2 linked regions of the Elephas maximus indicus genome follow. The protein of the gene in region 2 purifies or fractionates together with the protein of the main gene of each other region. This does not show direct contact. Links are inferred from orthologs where the notes say so. Each region holds a gene or a part of one and is shown on either strand. Other genes may lie near its edges. The genes, in order: AURKA and PPP6R3.

Region 1 (7,948 bases), on a different chromosome or scaffold from region 2:
TCTTTCCTCCAACAAGTGCCCTGCCACAGGGCCTTTGCACTTCCTGTTCCATCTACCTATTAGGCTCTTTCCTCAGATGTGTGGCTCACCCTCCATTTCATTCCGGTCTCGGCTCAAGTGTGCCTTTCCAGGACCACCCCTCCCTTACTTTTCTTCACGTCTCTCAGCATTCTACACGAACGTTACATATGTATTTACTGTGCACCTCTCCCCACTAGAAAGAAAGCTCTGTGACAGCAAGGGCTCAGTCCTACTTTGCTCACTGTTGCACCCCCGGAACCTAGAACAGCACCTGGCACACAGTATGCATCAAATCACTCAATGAGTTTTTTTTACAAAGTACAGTAAGTCCCCAGTTACCAACGTCCGCCTTACGGATAACTCAGACTTATCCTTCAATGTTGGGGAAACTTGCCCTTGCTTTGAAACAAATGAGGAGCCCTGGTGGCACAGTGGTTAAGAGCTAGGCTGCTGACCAAAAGGTCAGCAGTTCAGATCCACCAGCTGCTCCTTGGAAATCCTATGGGGCACTTCTACTCTATCCTATGGGGTCACTATGAGTCGGAACTGACTGGACAGCAACAGATTTAGTGAAACAATTGAACCAGCCCCTGACCTGCAACAAATTCATCACGATCACCTCCATTTGCCACACACACAGCTCTGAATTCACCGAAAGGGCTCCAAGTCTTTTCTTGCGCTAAAGTAAAGCTAAATGAGAACCCTATGCACCTGTTCCAACCTACCTGCAAATTCTTAAAGACACAGTCAGGAATGGGTCTGTTTGTAGCCCCGGGACAGCCTCTACATCAACAAAAAGTTCACAGTAAGCCCACACTGTGAGTCAGGCACTATCACCTATCGAGACTGCAGAAACGTTTCCATATTTGTCTTACCCAGCTGCTCAGTGAATATGATAATGCAACCAGAAAGCACATCCCAAAGCTTTATATTCATTTTATAAATATGCAAACTTCATGATGAAGAGGCCTAAAAAGCCCAGGCTCTTACAGAAAATGGTTAAGTAAAAAATAATAATAAACAAAAAAAGTAACAGGACTTATATGTTTATATTATGCAAACATTAATTTCTAAGACATGCTCTGAGGCTTCCAGTTTCCCTAACAATCACAAGTAGCTGACTAAGGAGATCACAGAGGCCTCAGGACATTTACTCAACAGTCTTCTGACAAAAGCTACAGACATTGGCTCCAATTTATTCTTTCTTTTTCTCCTCATGAAGATGAATGATGAAGAAGCAGAATGGATAAGATTCTGATTCAGAAATTCTGAGGACTCGCCCAGGGAGACTGCTCCTCGGGTGATTCTGATCTAGAACCAGATGCAGGAGGCAGTGACAAGAGGACCTTCATGAGATCCTACAATTCTAACTAGGAAAAGTGTTAGCTTTAACAGCACTCTGGGTTGACGGTCAGGACTTATTTTTTTCCTCCCTCAGCACAGGAGACCTGTGAATGTCTACAAAGATGAAAGTGAGTGGAAAGGAACTGAGTACACTGCTGAAAAGTGTTTAAGTCAAGGAAAAAGGAACATTAAGGAGGGGGCAGAATTGAAAGTCAAGGGCAGTAGCTGCACTGCCTGACTTTTGTTAGAAATGGAGACTCTCAGGGCCAACCCCAGGCTACTAAATAAATCAGATCGTAAATGTTAACATCATCCCCAGATGATACTATGCACTGGTATAGACCACTAGTTCTCACTGAAACATCAGAATCACCTGGAGAGCTTGCTGAAAGTAGACACACCTGGGTCCTATTCCCAAGGGATTCTGATTCATTGGGTATGCAGCAAGGGTCTACATTTTTAACAAACTTGTTGCAATCGAGTTGATTCAGACTCCCAGTGACCTTACAGGACAGAGCAGAACTGCCCCATAGGGTTTCCTGGGCTGTAATCTCTGTGGAAGCAGACTGCCACATCTTTCTCCCGTGGAGTGGCTGGTGGGTTCGAACCACCAAGCTTTCAGTTAGCAGCCGAGCTCTCAATCACCGGGCCACCAGGGCTTCTTACATTTTTAACAAGGGCCCCAGTAATCTCATATAGGTGGTCCAAGGTTTGAGAAACGCTGGCCTGGGAAGGCCTCTGCAGAAGGTTATCATTCATTTCTTTGTCCATTCACTCATCCAGCCAGGATAAGCCCCTTCCCAGGCTATTCTACCTAAAGTTGTTGTTAGCGGCCTTCCAGTCAATTCCTACCCATGGTGACCCCATGTGAGCAGAGCAGAACCGCTCCATAAGGTTTGCGCCACTCAGGACCCTTTATCTAAAGCTGTTGTTGGGTGCCATTTAGCCAATTCCAATTCATAGCAACCCCATGTGACAGAGTAGAACTGTCCCAAAGGGCTTTCTTGGCTGCAATCTTTACAGAACCAGACTGCCGGCCTTTCTCCTGCAGGGCCGCTGGGTGGGTTCCAACCGCCAACCTTTCTTTGGCCGCCAACCTTTCCTAAGCAGCCGAGTAGATCTAAAGTAACCCCCGTTAAACCATGTAACTGTTTCACTTGGTTCAGAACACCCACCACTGTTGGACGTTATCTTGTTAGTTCGTCGTCTGTCTCCTCAACCCAGACAGAAGGTGAACTCCAGGACGGCAGAGACCCCTCCGTATTTTTCTTAACCCAGCTGCTCACTGAATACGAGAATCCCATCAGAAGCACCCGCAACACCACTCAACAACCCCCATCCGCTTCTACGGGAATAAACAACACGCGGCATTTCCAAGGCGCCTCGGTGCCCACCCGCCGAAGGAAACGCGCCTGAAGAGCCCAGGTGGGCACTGTGGACAGGCTGGGAGGGCGACCCTCGCGGAACCTTCCTCTGGGCCCCTCGGCCTCCAGCCCCGCCACCCGCCCTGAGGCCGCCTTCGACGAGCCCCCCTCGTCCCAGGCCTCACCCCTGCCCGCTACACACTGGTCACCTGCCACCTCCGACCAGTGGCCGCCAATCCGCCCAAGATCTTAGCCGTTAGGAAGCAAAGCCTCCTCTTTTTAAATACGAGTTAAACCCTCTAACCCGAAAGTTGATTGGCTTGCGTTGAAGAGAGACTGCCTTCTGATTGGTTAACAAAGGACCGGACCTCGAGTCACATGACAAGGCTGAGATCCGCGCAGGCGCACTCGCTCCGTAAAGTGCCGGAAGTGGTGGCGCAACGGCCCGCCAGACCTGGGGCCGTCCTAGTGCCCGCGGTGCTGTCCGGGATCGGGCATTTTTCTGGGAAACAACAGTTCCCTTGCGTCAGGGCTGCCGCACAAGGAATAAATCCAGGGGAGGTGAACGAGCCTCTGGAACGTGCCAGTAAGTAAGATGGCGAGGAGGGCAGACGAGAGAATGGGGCCGATCGATAGCGCAGCGCTCGGCGCGGCGCCTTGTGCGCCTGCGCAGAGAACGTGCGCGCCGAGCGATCGATTGGGAAGCATTCGCGCCTCCATTTTTCTAAAAGAGAGCGGGGACCGCGAGAGCCGGATCAGCGGGTAAGGGGGTTCCGGGATGCGGGGAGAGTGGCTGTGCGGTCGGTTGGGGCCTGCAAGGGCCCGCGGGCAGGACTGAGGAGAGGCAGGAGGGTCAAGAGTGAGGGGAGAGGCCTGCAGCCTGAGCTCGGTTTTCTGAGTTGCCGGGCTGGGCCAGCACACCCCCTCCTCTTCCTAAAAGGGGACGTCGCGCCCGTCCCCTCCCCGTTCTTAGTTCGCCTTTGCCTTGGGATGGTTGTGGCGCGTACAGTAAGGAGAGTTTGTTCTCGCCCGGGTCTCCCAACTCCGGCATTCCTCGTGTCTCCGGGCCTCAGTGTCCCCACCTGCAAACGGGGGATAGTAAGTAGACTCCTGCTAGCCCGGCTAGTGAACGTACAATGGGAGTTGGGAAGCGGGAGCTCGCTCTGCTTTCTTTTGTTGAGCTCTTTGTGCACCCCATGATACACTGAAGATACGGGTTAAAATAATAGTTAAGTTCTGAGCTCTGGGTGGATTAACCAGCCACACTTAACTTTGGTGGGTTTCCTAACCTCTCTGAGCCCCGTTTCATCGTTGTGTCTCAGTATTGCCTACAGAAGCATAGATGTACATAGATTTGCTTCTGCATACTCTTGAAGTGCTTAGGACGGTGTCCAGTATGTAGGAATGCTCAGTAAATGTTCCTGTTATTATTAACACCCACCAGTATAGTGTGGGGTTAGCACGCAGGCCCTGCCATTAGCAAGCTGTTTGACCCTGGCTGAGTTAGTTAACCTCTCTGGGCCTCAGGTTGGAGCCCTGGTGGCACAGTGGTGAAGAGCTCAGCTGTTGACTAGACGGTCGGCAGTTCAAGTCCACCAGCCACTCCTTGGAAACCTTATGGGGCAGTTCTCTGTCCTTCTAGTTGCTATGAGTCAGAATCAATTTGACAGCAATGGGTTTCATTTTGGTTTGGGCCTCAGGTTGCTTATCTCTAAGTAGGACTAGCTGTGGAGTGAATGAGGTGATGCATGTAAGCTGTTTACACAATGTGTCCTGCATATTGTACTCACATGGAGTTGCCATAGTTGGAATCGACTCAATGGCAACTAACAAGAACGACAAATATCAAATAAATACTAGCCAGGATTATTGTTGTTAAGCTTTTAGGGAACATTACGAAGTTGTGTTTAGGGACAACACGGGCTCTAAAGACACACCCCCAGTGTTCCAGCCCTGATTTCTCCAGGCAATACTTGTGAGAACTTGAGTAACTTATTTTCCTTCACCTGGAAACAAGGCGATTACAAAACCTCCATTATAGGATGCTTTTGAGGATTAAATGAGATAAAACATGGTAAACGTTCAGTTAGTGTTAGCTGTTATTATGATCAGTAACCTCAGTGACTCTCCAGAGGAAGCTATGTAGTTAGAACAGGTGGTTCTCCATCTCTTTCCTGCATACATCTTCTTTTTCAGAATATAGCAATACCAAGTAAATATAACAACACCAAGAGGTCCTGATGTTACCGTTCACTCTGGTTTTTCTTGTCTCTGTTTCTCTCTCTCAGGCTGCAAATCCACAACTTTTCTTTTTTATTGCTATTCCCAGGCATCTGCAGCCTTCTGATTACCTGCCCACACGTTCGTTGGGTCTGTGATTTTTGATAATCAATGTCTTATCTAATTAGGTCCACTGTTACTTTGTGCCATCAAGTCAATTCCAACTCATAGCAACCCTGTAGGGCAGAGTGGGACTGTCCCATAGAGTTTCCTAGGCTGTAATCTTTACAGGATCCAATCACCAGGTCTTTTCTGGTGACTGACAGGTTGGAACCACCGACCCTTTGGTTAGCAGCCTAGCGCTAAACCATTGTGCCACCAGTGCTCCTTTAATAGGACTACTACAGGTCTTTTAAGACTTTGGGAGCACTTAGACACTTGGAAATCAATCTGAATGCACAATCATTCCAGATTTTTTCTTTTCTCTCCCCCATTTTTCCCATATGTTAGTTGGCAATATTTTTTTTAAGTGGTTCATGTTTTGTCTTTCCAGAGCATTCAACTTGTTTTAGTTTTCATTAAAACAATAGCTTTTTGCCCTCATATTTTAATTTATTGTGTAATTATATAATTCAGTAACAAGATTGGTTGCCGTAAAACAGATTTTAGGAACAAGCATGACTGACTTTGGTAAACATACAGCTCAGCTGGTGGAAACAGTAGTCCCTAGACGTTCGAGAAAGTAGCACCTGTCCACAATTTTCAACACCACTCAGTGTTTTGTTAACAGAAGAAATGGAAGTTCCTGGGACAGCAATAAAGGATTAAAATTGTAGGCAAGTGGTTTTGGCAGAATGAGCCCGGGTGGTGCAGCTTGTAGGTGCTTGGCTGCTAATCAAGAGGTTGGCTGTTCAAGCCCACCAGCAGCTTTGCAGGAGGAAAGACCTGGCAATGTGCCCCTGTAAAGATTACAGCCAAGAAACCCTATAGGACACATCTACTCTGTCACATGGAGTCACTGTGTTGGAATTGACTCGATGGCACCCAACAACAGTTTTGTCAGAGAAGGAAAGGGTGAGGGTAAGTTGAAGGGAAATGCTACTCTCGATCTCAGCTGGCATGACTCAAATGCCTTCTGTGCTCAGTGCCCTATGTGCACATCTTGTTAACCTTCAGTGATTTACTGAACAGCTGGGGAACCCGAGCCTCAGGGAAATGAAGTCACTGACCAAAGATGATGCGGCCACTAGAGCTGGATTTCAGCCCCACACGGCTGACCCCAGAGACCTGTGTTGCGTCCGGTGATTTCCTCATGCCTCTGCCCTTCCCCACCCACCCGTGTTCTCTTCTTGCAGCTGGCAGGGAAACCGTCTTCCTCGCCTCCAAGATGTACAGAACCAAAGTGGGCCTGAAGGACCGTCAGCAGCTCTACAAGCTGATCATCAGCCAGCTGCTGTATGATGGCTACATCAGCATTGCCAACGGCCTCATCAACGAAATCAAGCCCCAGTCCGTGTGTGCCCCCTCAGAGCAGCTCCTGCATCTCATCAAACTAGGTAGCCTGTCAGGGAATGCGTAGCTCCGAGACGAGGTTTTGGGTGTTTTCAGGCATCAGAGGTTTTTAAGATGATTATAGTTGAGTTTTAATGCCTACTATGGACCAGGTAAGGAGCCCTGGTGGCGCAGCAGTTAAAGCACTTAGCTGCTAACTGAAAGGTCAGCAGTTCGAACCCACCAGCCACTCTGAGGGAAAAAGACGTGGCAGTTTGTTTGCATAAAGATTACAGCCTTGGAAACCCTATGGGGCAGTTCTGCTTTGTCCTAGAGGGTCGCTGTGAGTCAGAATCGACTCGGCGGCAGCGGGTTCTTTTTTGTTTTGTTTTTGTTTTAAACGTGCCAGGTTTAGTGCTGGATACCAATGGGGTAAGCAAAGTCCAGATCATGAACACTTTAAGCCACTTCCAGCCTCAGGGCCTGAAGGACTTTGATGTGTTATTACTGACTTCCTTCAGGTCTTGGCTCACGTGTCACCTCAGAGTTGTCCTCACCCTCTAAAGTAATCCCATGATCTTCCCCACACTCCCCAGTTACTCCACCACAGCCAACCTGGCTCTTTCCTTCATAAGGGAATCACTGTGTGAAATGTTCTTTATTGTTTGGGTTGTTCCTGCACAAGCCGTCTCTCCTCCTCCTCGCTAAAGTTAGTAACAGTCAGGACCTTGTCCTGTTCAACATGGCATTCTAACGCCCACCTGGCTATAGAAAACGCAATAGAACAGAGTGGCTGAATACATAGTCTTGTCTCAGTTACTGTGCTGGAGTTGAAACTGTATCTGATAGGCAGTGTGTTATAGGCCTAGCTCTGGAAGCAGACGCCAAGGTGGGGTTTGTGTATGAGATGTTTAATAGGGATCAGCACCTAAGCAGGGAAAGGGAGCACGCAGGATTGGGCAGAGGAATAAATCGAATGCAACTCAGGCCCAACAAAGCATCCCCAGTGGAGGGCACTAGAGTGAATGTTGTCCCTGAGTCTGTGTCAGGCCAAGAGAACCAAGCCTGTGTACCTGGCCTCACCCCATCCTAGGATGTGGACTGCACAGGGAAGGTAACCACCGTGGACGAGGTTGTGCCCTGCAGCAATCCCTCCTAGAACAGGAATCTGGGCGGCATGACTACATACGTACTGTACCTGGGGATGTGTTTCTAGCAGAGAGTAAAATGACTGAATCTGCAGCTTAGAGAAATCACTTTAAAGAAGGCAAACTTCAGAGAAGTATCTATAGTGTGAAACAAGCTGTGGTTTATACCCTACAGAACTGTCTTGTCTGCATAAACGGAAACAAAAAGGTCCACAGTGATACACAAAACAGAATATGATCGAAGGGGGTTGGGCAGTCCAGGGGCATCTTCTTTTTTTTCTTTTTTTTTGAGAGTATACCCAGTTTATTTTAAAAATTATTTTAGGAATGATGTGGTGAGTGGGTTGTAGAAGTCTGAGC
Region 2 (7,517 bases):
TATGAGTCGGAATTAACTCAGGGGCGCCCAACAACGACATGTGACCCAGGACGGCGGTGAACTGAGAAATCCGGAAGTCTGGGAAGGTGGGTTCCAGGATGGCGAGGCCATTCTGGGTAGAATACAAAGCTTCAAAGCGATTTCCTTCAGGAGACGCGCTGAGCACAGGTGCTTCCTCCTCTAGGAAGCCCACCCTAACCTTGGCCTCTTCGTTACCGGAGGTGCTTGGAACACTCTTATCTTGGGCCAGGTACTGCCTTGTCTTACTCGCCATGCAGACAGCCCAGAACCCATCTCAGGGTCCGGGACGGAGGAGCTGAAGCAGGTACTGGCTGATGCTTTGATGATGACGAGTCAACGCTGTGAGTCGCCATCGATTCTGACTTGTGGCGACATCATGTGTGCAGAGCGGCGGGGTTCTGAAGGGTTTCCAAGGCTGTCACCTTCTGGAAGCACACTGCCAGGCCTTACTGCCGAGGCCCCTTTGGGTGGGTTTGAACCTCCAACCTGTTGGTTAATAGTCCAGCACTTAACCGTTCGCACCACCCAGGGACTCCCTGAGTGAGTAAATCGATGTGGGTAAATCAGTGGTGGCTGGGACCTCCCCAGGCCCCCCAGGAGGGCAGGGCAGATGTCAGACGCCAACTGAGCTGTCCCTCCTGCCCCCTGCCCAGCTTCCCTTAGGTGCCCTAGGGTTCCCTGGAGCCCCTCTTGTGCTCCCTGGACCAGGCCCTCTGGCCTGGACTCCTGTGCCACCCCCTGTTACTCTTGCTCCAACCTGACCTTCCTGAAGTATGGGCAGCCCTGAACAGGTCCCTCTCCTGCTCTGAAGCTTTCTCTGGCTTCCCGTCTGAGCATAAACCCCAAATTTCCTCCCCTGTCCTCCAAGGACTCCCTGGCTGGTTCCCGACCTGATTCCTATTCTTATTCTCATCCCCAACCCCTCTCCCAGCCCCAACCCCGCTGCCATCCCCAGCCCTGTCCTCCAAAAAAGTGCATTTCCCACACTGCTCCACCCCGCCCCGGGTTATCTGTGACACACCGTCCCTAGCCCTCCCCTGCACTGAGCACACCTTCTGAATCTGTTTCCTTCTTGACTGTGTCCCTCACTAGCCTCAGTGAGCAGCAGAGTCAGTGTGAGCAACATCTGCCCTTGGTTTCTGCCTCCCTAGAGGCCCAGCACCCTCAGGGCTTGGGCACAGGCTGGTTGATGTTACCACCTGCACTTTACACATAAAAACCATAAAGTCAGAGAAGTTAGATCACCCAGCCACTTGGGTAGCACTTGGTGCCCAAATGCTTCCTAAAAAAACCAAACCAGTTGCTGTCCATTCAATTCTGACTCCTGGTGACCCCGAGTGTTGCACGGTAGAAATGCACTCCACAGGGTTTTCAAGTCTGTGACCTTTCGGAAGCAGATTGTCAGGTCTTTATTCTGAGGTGCCTCTGGGTACGTTCAAACAGCGAACCTTCCTGTCAGTAGCCCAGTGATTAACCATTTGTACCACACAAAAAACTAAACCAAACCCACTGCTGTTGAGTCGATTCTCACTCATAGAGACCCTAAAGGACACGGAGAACTGCCCATAGGGTTTCCAAGGCTGTAAATCGTTATGGAAGTGAACTGCCACATCATTCTCCTGCAGAGCTGCTGGTGGGTTCGAATTGCCAACTTTTAGGTTAACAGCTGAGCGCTTTAGCCACTGCATCACCAGGGCTCCTTTTGTACTACCCAAGCCAAGCCCGTTGCCGTTGAGTCAATTCCAACTCATAGTGACCCAGTAGGGCAGACTATAACTGTTCCACGTGGTTTCCAAGGAGAAGCTGGTGGGTTCAAACTGCTGACCTTTTGGTTGGCAGCTAAGCTTTTAACTACTACATCACCAGGGCTCCTTTGCACCATCCAAACAAACAAGAAAAACCCAAACCTGCCACCAGACTGAGTCCAGCACAACTAGATGGCGCCTGGCTACCACCACCAACAAGGATCACAATACAGGGTCCTGAACAGACCTGGGTAAAAATGTAGAATAAAATTCTAACTCACAAAGAAAGATCAGACTTACTGGAGAAACCCCAATAGTATGGCCCCCAGACACCCATTTAACTCAGTACTGAAGTCACCCCTGAGGTTCACCCTTCGGCTGAAGATTAGACAGGCCCATACAGTGAAAGGAGACTAAATGAGCACACCAACCCAGGGGCAAGGATGAGAAAGCAGGAGGGGCTTGGAAAGCTGGTAATGGGAAAGCCAAGGCCAAGAAGGGGAGTGTTGACATGTGGGGTCAGCAACCAATGTCAGAACAATATGTGTATTAATTGTTTAATGAAAAACTAACTTGGTCAGTAAACCATCATCTAAAGCACAAAAACAAAACAAAACAAAACAAAAAAAGAAACCCTTTGCGGTGGGGTCGATTTTGACTCCACCAGGTACTCCTAAATGCTCTCCAGGCCTCAGCTAACTAATCTGTAAAACGGGAACAAAGACATTGTTCTGGAGCTGTCGGCAACCAGCTCCTCCTGGAGAGTTTGCCTCCAGCCACAGGGTCTGCCGAAGGGCTGAGCTGGGGAGGTGTGCCCATGTTTGCTCCAGAGACCCGGTTCCCCGGAGCTGACCCAACAAGCCAAGTTGGGCCAGATTCGCCCTGCAGTACCAGACTCTTCAGTGAGCTGGACGAGTTCAGGCCAGCTGGGGCCTGTGTAAGGAGCGAGGGCAGGGGTGCAGACAGATACTGAGCCCAGAGGTAGGTAGGCGATCAGAACCAAAGGAGGTTGGAGGCGGAAGACGCAGCGTGGCACCCACTCGGCTGGTCCTGCCCCCGCCCCCACCTGCAGTGGCCAAGTTCTACCCCTGGAGGCAGCCTGGGGAAGTCTCAGTCACCCAGGTACCCTATTTGACCTGGAAAGACCAAGCTGGCACTACAGGAGCAGCTGCTGGCAGAGGCTGGGGGAGACCTGCCAGCCCCCTGCCTGGAGCCCCCTCTGTGGTTCCAGGCCCGGAGTCCTCTGAGTAATGCGCCTCAGGGGCTGTTGAGTTCCCCCAGGCCTGTGGCACTGTTCTAAGAGGTCTCCGTGACCCTGCCCCATTGCTCACCACTGCCACTCTTCCTGTCCTGTCCCTCTCCTGCCACCCCCAGCTTCCTCTGTACCGTGAGCACTCCAAAGCCCCACCTTGGGGTCTCTGCGCGGGTCTCAATCCCTGCCACGCCCGACCCAAGAGCCCACGGCTTGTCCCTCCTGTCCTGCGGGCTTTGGTGGAAATGTCACCTCCTCGGAAGGGCGTCCAGCACTCTCTGCCACCAGCCGGTCGGCTTCCCTGATGTTTCTCTGGCTGCGGACTGAGTGTCCGAGGCGCGAGGACGTCTGCGCCCCTGTACCCCACAGTCCTTGCACACCCGCAGCGCCCAGTACAGAGCTGCTGCACGAACGGACAGGCCAGCCTGCCTGCTGAGGTCCCCATCCCAAGCACATCCTTGGGGTGCGACCTCGCATCCGACTCCACTCGGCGGACCTTGTTTGTCCTTTTCATCTCCTGTTTCTAACTGTTGCCCTCTTGTTGATTTCCGTGCGACTCTGAAAGGCGCCTCCAGTCCACGCTGGGACAAGGCAGGTTGTTAGGAAGCGCCGACGGCGGGCGCCCGGGACTCGTGGGTGTCTCGGGCCGGTTCACCGGAAGGAAAGGGGGTCCTGTGGCCGGGAAGCCTCTCGGGGAGGAGGAGCCCCGGCGGTTCTGTGAGCCACTCGAGTGTAAATCCTTCTCGACGACAAAAGGGACACGCCACCCCATCAGTCCTGCTTTCCCCCGCGGAGGTGGGCGCCACAGCGAGAGAGGGAAAGCCAGCTTTCCACCTTGACCCGAATCCCGGCACTGCCCCTTGGCGCGGATGAATGGCCAACGGCACCTTTTTACAAAATGCAGCGTGGAGAATGCGGGCATCGATCCCGCTACCTCTCACATGCTAAGCGAGCGCTCTACCACTTGAGCTAATTCCCCAGCTCTGACCCATTTCCGTCGCCGGGAAGCACATAGCGCTCACGTCATCATTCGCGTCCCCGTGGCCGCGTCCCCGCCCCTGGACATCGGGTTCATCCATTGGCTCCCCTGCCGCCCGATGCCCGCGGCCAGGATTGGTTTGGCTCCATTCAGTTTTAAAAGGCATTGTTTCCTCGGATTGGTGGTCAGCAACGTCCGTCAGGCGGAGTCCCTGCTGTTGCTATGGCGCAGGGGGATTCCACCAGGCTTCTCCTGGTTTCTGATTTGTTTCTCAGGCTCCAGGGTTCTAGAGGTTCCGGATCCGTCAAGTCCATGGGAAAAGAATGCGCCCTTCGCACTTGACTGATGCCTTCCACAGGCCAATCGGAGTGGAGGCCGCGGAGCTGAGGACCCACCCAATAGGCCGCAGGGGGCGGGGAAGGCAGGCCAATGCGCGTTGAGCTGGGGGCGGGGCAGAGCGGCGATTGGCGGCGAGGCGGCCGGAGGGAGGGCGGGGAGCTCAAGGCCTGCTTGATACGTCCGCCATTTTGGGCGCTTCGCTGATGGTGTCGGTGAGCGCGTTTCCCGCCTGAGCGCGACTTGCGGCAGGTCGCGGGCACCTCCAGGTAACCGCGGGGGGAGGCGGCGGGCGGGCCGCGGCGCAGGGGGCGCGCGGCGGGGCTCTCGGCCGGGTCTCGGGGCGCGGGCAGGAGCGTCCGGTCCCTCTTCCCCTCCCCCCCGGAATAAGCTCGCCCCGCGGCCCGGAGGCGGCGAGTCCTCCGGCCGTCCTCGGCCGCCCTGTCAGGCCGCGCTCCCCGCCGAGGCCCCGTCGGGCCGGGCCGAGGGCGGGCGGCGAGCCCGGCGGGCAGTTCTGCTCCCGCCCGGACGGGCGCGGCCTGCGCGGCGGCGGCGGCGGCGGGCGGGCGAGGCGGCCAGCGGAGGCGCGCTCTTCTCGGGGCTCCGGCTCCAGGCGTCCCGCCGCCCGGAGCGCCGCCCGGGGTCCCGCGCGGGGCCTGGGGGTCCCCGGAGTCCCGGGCCCGGCCGCCGCTCCCTGGGAACTTGTCGGTCGGGCCGCGGGAGCGGCAGCAGCTCGGGGGCGATGCGCGAAGGCCATTGTTGGACCCCGCTCCCCGGGAGACAAGTTTTGTCGGTTCCAGGTAATTCGCCGCAGAGTCGGGAGAGCCGCGCGGGTCCCTTCGGGGTATTTAGACGCCTTTCCAGGTGATCTCAGACTCCGCTGCTGTGACTCGAACGCAGACCTGGTCGCGAACGCCTCCCGGGCGAGTGCGAGCCTGGGGGATGGTCCTCCTGTGGCTGGGAGTTCCTCCCTCTTAAAGAAGCCCCAAACCAAAAAGACCAGACCCTCTGTCCGACTCCTAGCGACCCTATAGCCCCGGTCCTTGCTAACTCGGAGGTCGTGCCTCCTAGCTGGGTCCTGCTGGCTTTGATTACAGGCAGTGGACAGAACGAGCCTTTAAAGGGTGGACCTCTGCGTCCTGACTCCTTAGCTTCATAACTTCATGGAATTTCCTCGGTTCTGGACGTTTTCTCCGTAGACGGGTCGAGCTGTGGTTTCTGTGTTGGGTTTATGGGAGGGGCACTTTGTGGTTGATTTCTCTCATCCTCGCAGCTCTTGTTAAGGTCGATATTATCCCATTTAATTAATGGGACGGGTACTTTGATTTTGTCCTCAAGGTCAGGTTGGAAATGGACAACAAGTGGGAAAGGGACTCCAGGTTTCCGCCCTTGCAATGTGCCCTCAGTAGCAAGTGTGTGATACGCGGTTAGCCGTGGTGGTTGAGCTTTCTTCACTCTGAAGTTAGACTGTCTGGATTCTAACTCCAGTGCTTGACCACTTTCTTGCTCTGTGACCTTGGGCAAGTTGCTCAACCTCTCTGTTTCCTTTGAAATATGGAAATAATAATAGTGTCTACCTCACAAGGTTGTTGGGCGTAAATGATTTAATACATATGAAGCACTTAGAACTGTGCTTAGCACATAGAATCAGCGCAGTAATTTGTGGCTATTATTAATTTAAATTTGATTTTTAAATATTTAGATACTGTTAGGAAGTCGAAGGAGCCCTGATGGCACAGTGGTTAAGTGCTGGGCTGCGAACTGAAAGGCCAGCAATTCTAATCCGCTAGCCACTCCAAGGGAGAAAAATCTGACAGTCTGCTTCCATAAAGATCACAGCCTTGGAAACCCTGTGGGGCAGTTCTGCTGTCAGACAGGGTCGCTGTGAGTTGTAATCAGTTCCATGGCAGTGATTTAAGAAGTCAGATGAGTGCTTAAGCCCTGGCTCTTGGTAACCATCTTCAGAAAGCTCTGTGTATTAGGAGCTCGTTGGAACTGGGAAAGTGAACTGGAAGTTATTGTCATTTTTTCTGGGAAGGGGTAGTTGGAGATTCAGCTACATACTTTGCCAGAGCAATTGGTGGCCTGTCTCAGGATGTTCTCTGTACCAGGTGGTTAAATACAGAAGAGCCTGTCAAGAGCTTGAGTGGGACTCTGTTCCTCCTGTGCTTCTGGATACCATTTACGAGTGTGACTGGCGAGTCAGTATTCGGCGCCAAATAAGTAACTCAGGCGTTTCTCAGTGGACCCCGTAGGTTGTTAACTGAGATTTGGATTAACACAGCTAAGATGTTGAAAGGTTACTGGGTATTGAGATATACTTCAGTGAGGATAGTTTGGGAAATAATTCTAGTCCTTGATAATGGATACTTGGAAAGCTATTTTGTCCCTGTCTGATCAGGGAGTCTAGGATGTTTTACAAGATGTCAGCCACCCAGTCACACATACCCTTACAGTCTTACTTAACGCCCTGTGTTCTTCTCCAGTGTGGTGCCCAGAGCCCTGCTTGCCTTCCCTGGGTGGTGGTTGCTTGGGATCCAGCTTGCTTGGCTGCGCTGGAGAAGTGTGTTTTCCTGTGCCTAGAAGAGATGAGCAACTTGCTGCTGTATCAGGACTCAAGAACAGGAAAAAGATTGTTTTTGGGTTTAGAAAGCTTTGACTTCTTTTATGTAAAGTATAGCAAAAAACCTTCAAACTCCCTAGTTTCATTTTGCTGATGGAGAATTGGCCATAGCTGGACAGGAAATGAATAGTAATAGAATTAAGACTTGATGTAGGGTGGGGTTTATTGGAGGGCGGGGTTTGTCGGAGGGTGGGGTTTGTTGGAGGCCACATTTTTGCCTGTTTGGCGCAGCAGTAACGTGCTTATTACAAGTAAACCATCTTTTTTATTTATAAAGCAGAATATTTGTCAGGACCAGTATTTGGCTTCTGTGATAAACCTGTATCTTCCACTTTTGTGTTTTCAGTATTTGAGAGGCAGTATTATATATTGGTCTGGAGCCTTGGTGGCACAGTGGTTAAGAGCTCAGGCTGCTAACCAAAAAGGTTGGCAGTTCAAATCCTCCAGCCGTTCCTTGGACTCCCCACTGGGCAGTTCTGCTCTGTCCTAGAGGGTCGCTATGAGTCGGAATCGACTTAACACCAGGAATTTTTTTTTCTGTGTTTGTTTTTGATATTTTGG

The links.
Region 1: the proteins of PPP6R3 (region 2) and AURKA purify together in Homo sapiens (affinity purification with mass spectrometry; 6 studies listed by BioGRID and IntAct, counting the BioPlex papers as one, with this or other methods). This does not show direct contact. The link is inferred for Elephas maximus indicus from reciprocal best matches to the Homo sapiens genes PPP6R3 and AURKA.

Annotation. Positions count from the first base shown.
Region 1 is NC_064843.1:13,200,792-13,208,739, reverse strand, and holds the start of AURKA (aurora kinase A), read right to left. Parts: upstream 3,176-7,948; 5' UTR 3,098-3,175; intron 3,035-3,097; exon of another isoform or gene 2,915-3,034; intron 2,651-2,914; exon of another isoform or gene 2,541-2,650; intron 771-2,540; exon of another isoform or gene 747-770; intron 1-746. Other genes in the region: CSTF1 (cleavage stimulation factor subunit 1), read left to right, coding at 6,337-6,505. UniProt on the Homo sapiens protein: Mitotic serine/threonine kinase that contributes to the regulation of cell cycle progression.
Region 2 is NC_064825.1:131,203,253-131,210,769, forward strand, and holds the start of PPP6R3 (serine/threonine-protein phosphatase 6 regulatory subunit 3), read left to right. Parts: upstream 1-4,483; 5' UTR 4,484-4,602; intron 4,603-7,517.